Rhinolophus ferrumequinum: one gene and its partners. The protein of the gene in region 3 interacts with the protein of the main gene of each other region in a biochemical or structural test. Links are inferred from orthologs where the notes say so. Each region holds a gene or a part of one and is shown on either strand. Other genes may lie near its edges.

Region 1 (3,748 bases), on a different chromosome or scaffold from region 3:
GCCACCTGCCGCTCGGAGTCTTCCCTAGCCTCTCTCCGCGGTTTTAGTTTCCAGACCCGCACTGTGAAAGTCATCCCCCACCTCTGGAGTTTGCATTTGAGCAGGGTAGGGATATAGGAAGCGAGGACCTCTCCAGAATGTCTGGGAAATGACAGGCCAATTTAATGAAATCATCTGGGTGTGACATTTGAGTGGTCAAGTGTGGGGGTGTGGGGACGGGCTGGTTTTGCAATGAGCATTATGGACTCTGTGTGAACTGGCACCTGTTCTCCATTGCTCACTCCCTCCTTCCCACTCCTCAGGGCGGGATTGATTATTGTTTTAGCCCCTAAGTCTTGGCCAGAAAATCCCTTTTTAATGACCGTGCTCCTCCTAACCTGTTTCTAGCTCTGGGTGATTGCTGATGTGTCTGTGTCAGCAGTCTCAATAGTCATATTCTCTCTCTCTCTCTCTCTCTCTCTCTCTCTCTCTCTCTCTCTCTGGAGAAATCTGGCCGTATTACTCATAATTTGGAAAGAATATCACATTCTGCTCCCAGCTGAAACCGCCCCAGTGTTTGCTGACTTGCTGAGAGGATTGACTCTTTCAAACTCTGTTGAGAAGAAAGCAAGATTAATTTCTTCCCATTTGTTTTCCACCCTCCTCCACACCAGTCTGGAGGATTTTATGCATATGAATCTTTAAAGAGTTGAGGGTATAATTCAAAGGCCCACTTCCAAATTTGCTTCTCTGGGCAGGGAACAATTAAAACTGGAGTAATTCATTTATTCTAATGGGGACTCTGCATATTTTAACATTAAACCCACTTGCACCATTAGTGTTCTCTCTGCAAATGCTCCAAGATAATTGGGAAGGTTTTACTACTCCATTAGAAGTGCTGAAAACTGTGTGACAGAGATAAAAGTGTTCTGTCCTGAAGGCTGTAATATTTGTGAATATAAAGGAGTGAAAATAAACTGGATTCAGAATGACAGATAAGTTATTGCTTTATGACTGTATTGGGACATTTATAATCATTTCTACATAAAATGTACATGTTTCAAAGCACAAAACTCTCCAGTGATCACAGATAATAGGTTGCCTGTTTTCATATATGTGAAACCTCATTTTAAGAGTAAAGTTGAAGTAACTAGAGTTACATGGTAGACCCTTGTCTATCAGCAAAGCCTTGTGTTTACTTGGTCCCGTGAGCCCTGGCTCATCTGCTAATGACATGCACATGCTCTGTATCATCAGTGGGTATAGTTGGGAAACTAATGCCACTCACCATATAGGATGGTTAACATGGACACGGGCATGACAAGGAAACCCAGCAGCATATCGGCTATGGCAAGTGACATCAGGAAATAGTTGGTGGCGTTCTGCAGCTTTTTCTCTAGGGACACTGCCATGATGACGAGTATATTTCCAGCAATGGTTAGGATAATCACTACAGCTGTCAACAAAGCAGACCAGTTTTTTTCCTGGAGATGAAGTAAGGAGAAGCATGGTGGTGAGAGGCAGCCCTCACAGGAAAGGTTGGTTCGATTTTCTGAGTCGACTGTCCAGTTAAATGCATCGGAAGTGTTAGCTTCTCCAGAGTTAAAATCGTTATTGTAGAGCCTTGTGTTATCATTTAGTTGCATTAAGGAGTTCGTACTTGAGCTCAAAGAAGTATTTTCTTCACACAGAATATCCATTTCTCAGCCAGAACTTATAACAGATGAAGTGTAGAAAAACTAACAAGTTAATAGGCTCTGCTCACCATCCATCTTTATGTCCCCACACTCCGTCACACTGAAGCTGGTGTACCTGCTGGGCTCCTTTGGTTGGCTTTTTTTCCTCCCATTATTACAACAGTAGTTGAAGGACTGCAGTGGCTCTTTATATTTCCTTCCTTCACAATTTTAGTAGAGTCTTCTGCTTGGTTTCATTTTTTTGTTCCAAAGCAAGGTCAAAAAGGCAGAATGAACTTTTAGCATAGAGGTTTCAGAGTTTTGAGCATTTGGGGAGAAAAATGTGATCCTGGCCAAAAACAGAAAAGTTTTGTAACTACCAGGAATCTCGTTTAGCTCTGTCTCATTCTGTTGGTTATGCGGATCACACTAGGTTAGCCACAGCCGTCTTAAAACAACATGCAATCCAAAACAGCAGGGCTGTATGCCTTCTACATTAAGAAAGTCAATTAAAAATACATTCAGTGTTAATCCCAGAGTAATTGGATGTACTTTGGGTTATAATTCTCAGTCTTAGGCAGAACTGCCACAGCTGCTGCCGGGAATTTCAGCTTGTATTATGTTGCTTAGTTAATAAAAGGGGACAAAAAAAAGTCTTAAGCAAAGATTAACAACTTTCCACACTAGAAATTCTCATTGTGAAATGATTACATTTTGGCCAAGCATGATTTCAAGCCAGAAAGAAAATTACACAGCAATAAAATATAGCATGAGAAGATGAGAACTTACATTTGTCTTCAGGGTCCTCACATCAGACACACTGCTGTTCTGTAACTCGTTGCATCTCTCATAATAAATAAGCTGGTATAGAGTCCCTTCTCCTTGAGCCTCCACCAGCATAATATGATAGTAATTTGATTTCTGTTTTGCTGACTTCAAAAACTGCATGTAAGGGTCAAGCCAGTTCCAGTGCTGCGAAGCCCGCCTTGGCGTTCTCTGCCCCCGCTCAGCTGGGTCACTCCCTCCCTGGGCGGCTTGCCTCAGCGAGGCACACATTTAGAATCATTCACAAGCCCCTCTCAAAGTCACACAAAAGAAATCTCACAGCAAAGTAGGAAGAGCAGCCTGCACCGAGGGTCGCGTGGTTTCCACGGGAATGAACTAGCTAGCTCTCAGGCTGTCTCATTCACGTCGTCAGACCTCCCTCTATCTGTGTGTCATAAACTGCAAGGTAGCAACAGCCAGCAGGGTGGATCGAATAGGCTGTTTTTTTTTTTTTTTTCCTTTTTGCTACACGTTAACGCTGGGAAGTTTCTCTTTGTTTTTAAAAGAGAGAAACTGGAGAATTCACATTTTGTACAATTCCTAAGGCAGGTAAGCTGCACTGGTGATATTTATTAGGGTGAAGATAGAACACGAAAATAAGGCTAGAGAATGGTATATCCTGGGAGAGTGCCCTCTATAAACGAGGCGCTTCCATCCAAAGCCCACATTCTTATGCCTGAAGTGGGATTACTGACCTTGGCGGCTTGAGCTCTGTGTGGTCAAGCAGATCTTGGCCAATAACTCTGAAACTATTAGTACCATTTTAATTTATTATGACATACATCTACTGTTCAAATAGCTTATTTTCTTCAACAGAAATATGCCATGGAGAAGTAATTCAAAACCTCACATGTAGAAGAGAGTAAGTTGGTTGTTTAGAGATGACACTGGAGAGCCTGCTTTCCTTGTAAGAAAGCCCCTTCTCAGTTTCTAAACAAGGCAGATATGTGTGTGGATGGATGTGTATACACACACACCCGTAGCTCCTTATTTTTATAGATGAGAAAGTAGATTTTTTCCTGAATAGTTGGGTTTTTCTAAATTTCTGTCCATCATTATCTTCTCTTCTTACCCTTTACATACTCCCTAGACAAAATCAGCTATTCTCATGCCTTCAACATGTTTGGGGCCAAATCTGTACCTTCTTAGCAGATTATTTCCCCCAGCTTCAGACCGAGATATCCAGCTGTCCACTGGGCCTTCCTTCAGCAGCTCAGGCAATCTTGACCTCAGCATCTTCTTTCATGTACCCATTGCCCTGCCCTCCT
Region 2 (3,748 bases), on a different chromosome or scaffold from region 3:
CCCTCAGAATTGTCACACAATAACTGGATGGGATTGATTATCTGGCTGCTCTCCCAGCTCACGGTGTCTATCTGGGGTAGGGACTGGGGACAATAGAAACACAGGGATGGAGAAGGATGTTACGTTGGAGATAAAGGGACAGGAAAAAGGTTCTGTTTGGAAGGAAAGAGAGTAGGGTCAGGGATGGCACAGCCTGGGTTTCCACTGGAAGGGCAGGGCCTGGGCCACTCATAAAGGTCAGTAAGGGGATTAGGAGGCGCTGTGTCTAATCTGTCAGTTTAACCAGGTCCTGGCCCTGAATTTGTCCCCACCTGCCTAGCCCAGAGGCAGCGAACGAGGACGAGGCCCAGACACCACCTCAGACCCAATTACGGACCTGGGTGCCCAGGTTCTCCATCCAGGCCAAGATCCTGCACCTGCTTTGCCTGCGAGAAATGAGAATGAGAGGCTGGGAGGACTCAAATGCGGGAGAATTCTGAGAGGAGAAAGGCATTTAAAAAGAGCAAGAATGTGAGAGAAGGGGGAACCTGAATGAGGCGAGTTGGAAAGGAGTGAATGGACTCTTAGAAGGGGGAAGGAATCAGAGGTGGGAGGGTGCTGAGGAAAGTTGTCAGAGGGGGAGGATGCTAAAATAAGGGGAGGAGTTTGGGGGAGAGGGAAGAGCCTGAGAGTCAGCAGGTGCCAGGAAGGCGGAGCCTCTGCTTTCACTATATTTGGCCTTTCCCTATTGTCCCATTCTCCTTGACAGATACCAAATAGCGTAGCATTTAGAAGAAAGAATACGTCTTTGTTCCACCACTCGTTGACTTTGAAGAGGCTGAGGTGGATGGGGTCATAGGAGGGGTTAAGAAAAGGGACTGGAGATCGGAGGGGCCAGTTCCCGGAGGAAGGAGGATAAAAGAAAGGTGAGCTAACCAAAGCTGCTCCCGGTTGCGTGGCAACCGCTGCGGTCAAAAGCCAGCTTGGACTTCTAGGAGGTGTGGCTCACGAAAACATCCGACAGCTGTGGCCCCGCCCCCTAGCAACAAGGCTAACAAAGTACCGCCCCCCCCCCCCCCGAAACACACAACTAGAGGCGGGGCTCGGTTGAACTATAATAGTGTCCTTGTGCCCACAGCCCTTGGGCAGGCGCAGTCCTCTGTGCTCCCGCATAGTCCCACCTCCATGCAAATCCTTTCCGAGGTTTCTCATTGGCGAGCAATCCAGCCAAGTGACTTCTTTTGTTTCGGAGGCGGGGCCCGACGCACTGGCTGCACTCCGATTGGCATCGCAGGCCGTCTACCTCCGACCGGACATGGCTACGTCTGCTCCTTGTGCCCTTATTGGCCCTGGAGGATGGCCCTTCGGTACCGGGGGCGGAGCAGACGAGAGGGCCTGCAGTGGATTGGACGGTGTCGAAACGAGGGGCGGTCCCTACAGGCGGGGCGGTTGGTAGGCGAAGAGAGAGTCTTTTCAGCGCTGAGGACTGGCGCTGAGGAGGCGGCGGTGGCTCCCGGGGCGTTTGAGCGGGCTCACTCGAGCCCGCGGGCCAACGCGGATCCAGGCCCGACCGGCGGGACCGCCCCGGACTCCCCGCGGGCCTTCCTAGCCGCCATGGAGGACGGTGTCTATGGTAGGTCGGGGAGGGGTGGAGCTGGCACGAGCAGATGGAGTCTTTCGTCCCGAACGTTCCGGTGCGAACGTTCCCTTTGGCGCTCACCTCGCGGAGCCGTTCGGCCCCATCGTTGCCGCCTTGCTTTTATGGGGCTTGGGATGGGCTTCCGGCGAGACCCTAGAGCGGGGCGTTCCAGGCCATTGTTTGGGCCGATCCTGTTTCCGGTGGCGGCGGGAGGGGACGGGATGGAGCAGCGGAGGCGAGGCCGAGGCGGAACCTTCCCCGCCGGAGGGGCCGGGCGAGCCCAGTGCCTGCTGGGAGCAGGCAGGGGGACTTCTGGGGGCGGCGGAGTAGGGAAGAAATCTTGGGGGCTGCAGAGATCCGGCTAAGACGGAGGCCTTTGATGTCCCGCCCCCTTTCCCAACTCTTACGAGCTGTCATCAGCTTTCCTTGCCATAGTTAACTTTTCATGGAACAGGAGTCCGGACATCCAGGTCCCAGCTACCTTGCCAGTAATGGAAGCAGAACACCAAGGCCTCAACCCCTTTCCAAGTAATGGAACCAGCAGTTCAGGCTGCTAGCCCAGTCTCCCCCAGACCTAAGAGTTCAAGCTCCAGCCCCCTTCTCCCTCAGACTCAGGAGCCCGGACCCCGGGTCCCCGCCTCCCCCAGGACTCAAGAGGCCACCAGCCCCTTCTTCCATTAGACATAGGATGCTGGACCCTCATTTTCATCATCCCCACGAACCTAGGAGTCCTGTTCCCCCTTCCCGCACCCCTGTCATCCCCCAGATTGCAGGAATCCAGGCTCACAGTCCACAGAACTGACCTCCAACTCCTGACCCCTAGAACCCCCAGACCTTACGCCGGAGGAGCGGATGGAGTTGGAGAACATCCGGCGACGGAAGCAGGAGCTGCTGGTGGAGATCCAGCGCCTGCGGGAGGAGCTCAGCGAAGCCATGAGTGAGGTGGAGGGTCTGGAGGCCAATGAGGGCAGGTGAGGGCTGGGTAGCGAATTTGGGGGTCATGGGGCCAGGCCGGGGCCAGGGATGCCCAGGTATTGACCCTCCATCCCCCTGCTCTCTGCCCTGCAGCAAGACCTTGCAGCGGAACCGGAAAATGGCCATGGGCAGGAAGAAGTTCAACATGGATCCCAAGAAGGTGCCTGGGGGCCACAGGGCTGGGATCCGCCTAGCAGATATCTTGACGGAGGTTCTGGCACCTCCATGTTCCACAAGTGTGATGGTTAAAGGCCTACTTTAGGTGTACAGATTTGGTCCTAATCTCTGGATTTAGAAACTGGCTCTCCACTTATTCTCTGAATACTAACCAAATATTTCAGCCTCCTGACCTTGGCCTGTGCTGTGTTCTCTGGGAGATCCTCTTTCCTCTTTTTGCTCATATTCCTGGACCCACTTCCGGTGTCACCTAGAGTCCCAGGACGAGCTTATGTCTGGTGGGGAACATGGACAGTGACATACACAAAGGCAGGTTGACCACTGCCGTGATATGGAGGTACAAGAGCTGTGGACACTCAGAGGAGGGAGCCCAATGCAGTCATGGAGGGCTTCCCAGAGAAGGGGACGTTCAGATCTGGTGTGAAGGACGAGTTGGTGTTCACCAGATGGAGGAAAGATGTTTGTTGATTCAGTCTTTCTCTTTATACCCAGTTCCTGAGGCCTCCCTTGGGCCTGCCCCTCTGCTAGGCAATGCTGGGAGCCCAGAGAAGAGTTTGACCCTGCCCTCAGGGAGCCCCTAGACGTGGATACCACAATTCAGTGGTGTCCATTATAGAGCTATAATGGATGCCCTCATGGCATCAGGAGAGCCAGAGAAGGCCCTAGTCCAGTCTGAGGCTTGGTCCTCACAGCCCTTGACAGACTGCTGCCCGAAGCAATTGTAGTTTGTTCAATCATTCAACCAATATCCACTGAGCTCCTGTCCCTTGCGGACCCTGCTCTGGGTGCTGGAATTAACTAGGAAAAGGCAGAGGGAACAGTAGGTGCAAAGGTTATGAGGTGGGAGGGATGTTATTTAAAGACCTGTGAGAAGCCTGAAAATGACACCTGGCCCTGCCCTGTTGAGCGTGGGGGTGGGTTTGCGTGCTGTAGTTTCCGGGGAGGTAGTGGAAAGTGGCTTTCTGAGCACATCAGCAC
Region 3 (3,748 bases):
TCACTAAACTATAAAAAGAAAGACTTTATCTTCAATCAGTTGCTGTAATGTGAAAACAGGAATGTGTGTATTTCCAACTAGGTAAAAGGTGCATATAAAATTTGAATTGTTAAATGTTTCATTAATGAACAAAGTAAACATTCTAGTAATTTAAAAACTATTGGTCTTAGACATTGAAACATGGTAAAAGTATATATTCCAGTTTTGCCCAAGTCACTTAAAATATCTACAAATATTTTGACTGTGTGTGGGTGGATACACCATTATTGCTCCATTTTCTGGAAAGTCTTTTTAAAGTTAGAAAAGAGGGAAAACACAGCAAAATTGCTAACTTTGCAGTGACAAAAATCTGTGTCCTTAGACGGGTTACAATTTTATATTTTTATGCAGCGTTAAGTTAGCTATGTAATGGGGAACTTGAGTTTTATCCCTACTCATGCATGATGTATGTTTCAGAATTTAATAGCTGACATTTCAAAGAACTTCTTATATTACCTGTTTAACATACTGATGTGCAACTGGAACATATTACAATATTACTCACTTGCCACTGTGGGCTGAGTTTTCTATACTGGTCTTAGATATAAAAGGTCACATTTGAAATTACTAAGTTAAAGTTGTAACTCATAAGGGAGGGGGGAAAGGCCTTAAATATAAAAGACAAACGGCAGTTTGATTAAGCAATAATTTTCAGTTTACTAGATGAAACAGACTTGCAACATAGTCTGCATGAATGCAAAATAAGCCATCTACAGCAAGTGATAAGGAAACTGGGCAAAAAGGAAAAAAGCATACATTGGAAGGAAAGATTCTGTCAAAATAAAAAAATCATACCATTATTATAAAGGACTTTACCAAGAACTGCTATATTTCCCCCATCCCATTTGCTGGAAGTCAACAAGAGCATCTAGCACTTTGTGTTCATGTCAAATATCAGATCAGAGCATCCTACCGCAAAGCAAAAAAAAAAAGAAAAAAGAAACAAAAAGGAAATCCCTAATCCCCCCCAAACTGTAGAAGAGCAACTCCAGAGTTCAAATTCAAAAGAAGAGAAAGTGGCAATTGAAAGAGGTGATGGTGGAGATAATCCTATGAATGGGTTTTTGATTTCTCTCCTTCCGGGGGATGGGTGGAGAACACTCATTAAGATTTGTAGTTAGAGGTTAACCATGTGAGCCCCTCATAGAGTCCATCCCCTGAGGTGGCACAGGAGGGCTGCACATACCAGTTCCTGTCCCGAATCCGGGTCAGGCCCAGTTTCTCCTGGATCTCGTGGGGTTTCATGGCATCAGGCAGGTCCTGCTTGTTGGCGAAGATGAGGATTATGGCGTCCCTCATCTCCCGGTCATTGATAATGCGGTGCAGCTCCTGGCGGGCCTCGTCGATGCGGTCGCGGTCGGCGCAGTCCACCACGAAGATCAGACCCTGGGTCCCGGTGTAGTAATGCCGCCAGAGCGGCCGGATCTTGTCCTGGCCGCCCACATCCCACACGTTGAACTTGACGTTTTTATAAGTCACCGTCTCCACGTTGAAACCCACGGTGGGGATGGTGGTCACTGACTGGCCCAGCTTCAACTTGTACAGGATTGTTGTCTTGCCGGCCGCGTCCAGGCCCAACATGAGGATCCGCATTTCCTTGTTCCCGAAGATCTTGGATAGCACCTTCCCCATCGCGTCGGAGGAGCCGGGGCCGGGGGCATTCAGGTGTCCCAAGTCCCCTCTGCCAACAACGCCGCCGCCGCGAAACCGAAACGAAGCCTCCCAGCCGCGAGGGCGCCCGTGAGGCCTGCGTGGGAGTTGCCTCCTCGGGACAGAGGCCCGGGCCCACCGCTCACTCGGGCATCACCGACCACACAACTTGATTTCTCCAGTCGCCGCTGCCGCCGGGGCCCTGAGTCTACGCCGGGAGAGCCGCCGCCCTGCTGAGGCGAGGCGCGGCCCGGCCCGGAACTGCCCTTCCCCCCGCGAGCGCCGCGCGAGCGCCGCTGCGATTCCCGCTCCTCCGCCTTCTCCTCACTCAGCCGCGGGAGACTGCGACCCTGTGGCCCGCCCGCCGGTCCGCGAACGCCGGGCTCACCACCGACCCAGGCCACCCGAGGCAGCGAGGCTCCGGCGCCTCGTCAGGTCATTGATCCTCGCGGGAACTCGGTGCGCTGCCTGCAGAGACACAGAGAGGGAAAAGGGAATTACAGCCGGAGCTCCAGAGGGGAGCGGTGGTCCAGGTGGCCTGCCTTTCCAGCTCGGCCCGGGAGGTTACCTCCAGCCGCCGCCCCGAGCGCGGGCTCCCTCCGGCCTCCACCGCCTCCTCCCAGCTCTGCCGCCGCCGCCACCGGAAAAGGCGCCGAGGAAACCGCCTCACTTCCCCTCCCGAGCACGCAGGCGCAGCACAGGCCGACCGTTCGGACAAGAGCGACCTCTGTAAGGAGAGCGGCCCGCGCGCCAAGCGTCATTGGCGCCACGAGCAGAGGGGGCGGGGCTACGGCGGCTCGGGAGGGCCTGCAGGTGCGGCCAGCCCCCGGCCCGAGTCTCGCGCGGACTCGGACTCTTGCCCGCTTGTGGCTATTCTAGCGTCTCCTCCCTTTTTTGCTGTCTTCCGCGCTTTCTCCTCCAACACCTCTCGAACCGGAGAAGCAAAAACCCCAGGGAGCTGCCCAGGGCGCGGCCCGCGGGCAGCCCGCTCGCACGCCGAACGCCTCCCTCATGCTGCTGCCAGGTGTCTTCTCAGAACTCGCTGCCTGCCAGATCCGCTGAGAATTCCCTCCATCCCGTCCCAACCTTCGCGCTCACTCGGGCTCCCAGGGAAGCCCTATCCGCTGCTTTTACCTTCCCCCCACCTCTCCTTGGCTTTCTTTATTCCTCGTGCTCTGTGGGTTTCCTGCAAGACACGTGGGAGACAACTGTTTCGTATGGAATCTGCCAGTCAATGCGGTGCTTTTACCGGCTTGGGTTTGCTCTGAAGCCCTTTGAGTATTTGAGCCTTTATACATCTCGTCAGGACCAGCCCACGTTTCTTAAAAATTATAGTATTATCAAGAGTTCCTGTACCTTGCCGCACTTTAAACTTTTTAGAAGGTGATAACTTTTCGTATGTAAATATCTCCTCCTTTTAGTGTATTAGTAGCTGCTTATCCACCCACCCATTCTTTAAGAGGCATGGACGATATAATCTTAGCATACGATTTAGAATCAGGTAGAGACTACTTCTGTGGCCTGGATCTAGGCATTTAACCTTGCGAAGTTTGTTATGTGTAAACAGTGTAATACTGGCTTTGCTCTCTCCACCCCATTTGAGGGTTAAATAATATTTGTGGAAGACTTTAGGAAACCTTTTTATATCATAGTGATAAAGAGGCTTAAAATGAGGTGAAAGCTTAAAATAAATGAACCAAGGGGAGGAAAAACGAAATTTTTTTAAAGGAAGATGGTAAAATGGCATATGGTAACATACTTTTTATTTAAGAAAATACTTATAATTTAAGTATTTAACATAATTTAATAAAATTTGATAATGGTAGATCATGCCTGAAATAAACTTACTGTGTTTATTTCCGGCAGTTATTACCACGTTTCCCGGAAAATAAGACCTAACCGGACAATTAGCTCTAATGAGTCTTTTGGAGCAAAAATTAATATAAGACCCAGTCTTATTTTACTTATAAGACCGGGTCTATATAATATAATACCATGACTGGGTCTTACATTAATTTTCGCTCCAAAAGATGCATTAGAGCTGATTGTCGGGCTAGAT

Evidence for each region. The genes of interacting proteins can lie anywhere in the genome.
Region 1: the proteins of ARF6 (region 3) and HTR2A form a complex in vitro, tested with the Homo sapiens proteins (2 studies listed by BioGRID). The link is inferred for Rhinolophus ferrumequinum from reciprocal best matches to the Homo sapiens genes ARF6 and HTR2A.
Region 2: the proteins of ARF6 (region 3) and CYTH2 form a complex in vitro, tested with the Homo sapiens proteins (3 studies listed by BioGRID and IntAct, with this or other methods). The link is inferred for Rhinolophus ferrumequinum from reciprocal best matches to the Homo sapiens genes ARF6 and CYTH2.

Annotation. Positions count from the first base shown.
Region 1 is NC_046287.1:90,177,855-90,181,602, reverse strand, and holds the start of HTR2A (5-hydroxytryptamine receptor 2A), read right to left. Parts: upstream 2,844-3,748; 5' UTR 1,680-2,843; coding exon 1,268-1,679; intron 1-1,267. UniProt on the Homo sapiens protein: G-protein coupled receptor for 5-hydroxytryptamine (serotonin).
Region 2 is NC_046298.1:44,013,300-44,017,047, forward strand, and holds the start of CYTH2 (cytohesin-2), read left to right. Parts: upstream 1-1,392; 5' UTR 1,393-1,593; coding exon 1,594-1,612; intron 1,613-2,441; coding exon 2,442-2,589; intron 2,590-2,686; coding exon 2,687-2,753; intron 2,754-3,748. UniProt on the Homo sapiens protein: Acts as a guanine-nucleotide exchange factor (GEF). Promotes guanine-nucleotide exchange on ARF1, ARF3 and ARF6. Activates ARF factors through replacement of GDP with GTP.
Region 3 is NC_046289.1:42,166,771-42,170,518, forward strand, and holds the start of ARF6 (ADP-ribosylation factor 6), read right to left. Parts: upstream 2,258-3,748; intron 2,158-2,257; 5' UTR 2,117-2,157; coding exon of another isoform or gene 1,701-2,116; 5' UTR 1,672-1,700; coding exon 1,144-1,671; 3' UTR 1-1,143. Other genes in the region: collagen alpha-1(I) chain, read right to left, coding at 1,701-2,116, 2,258-2,450. UniProt on the Homo sapiens protein: GTP-binding protein involved in protein trafficking that regulates endocytic recycling and cytoskeleton remodeling. GTP-bound form plays an important role in the transport of multiple palmitoylated proteins form the Golgi to the plasma membrane.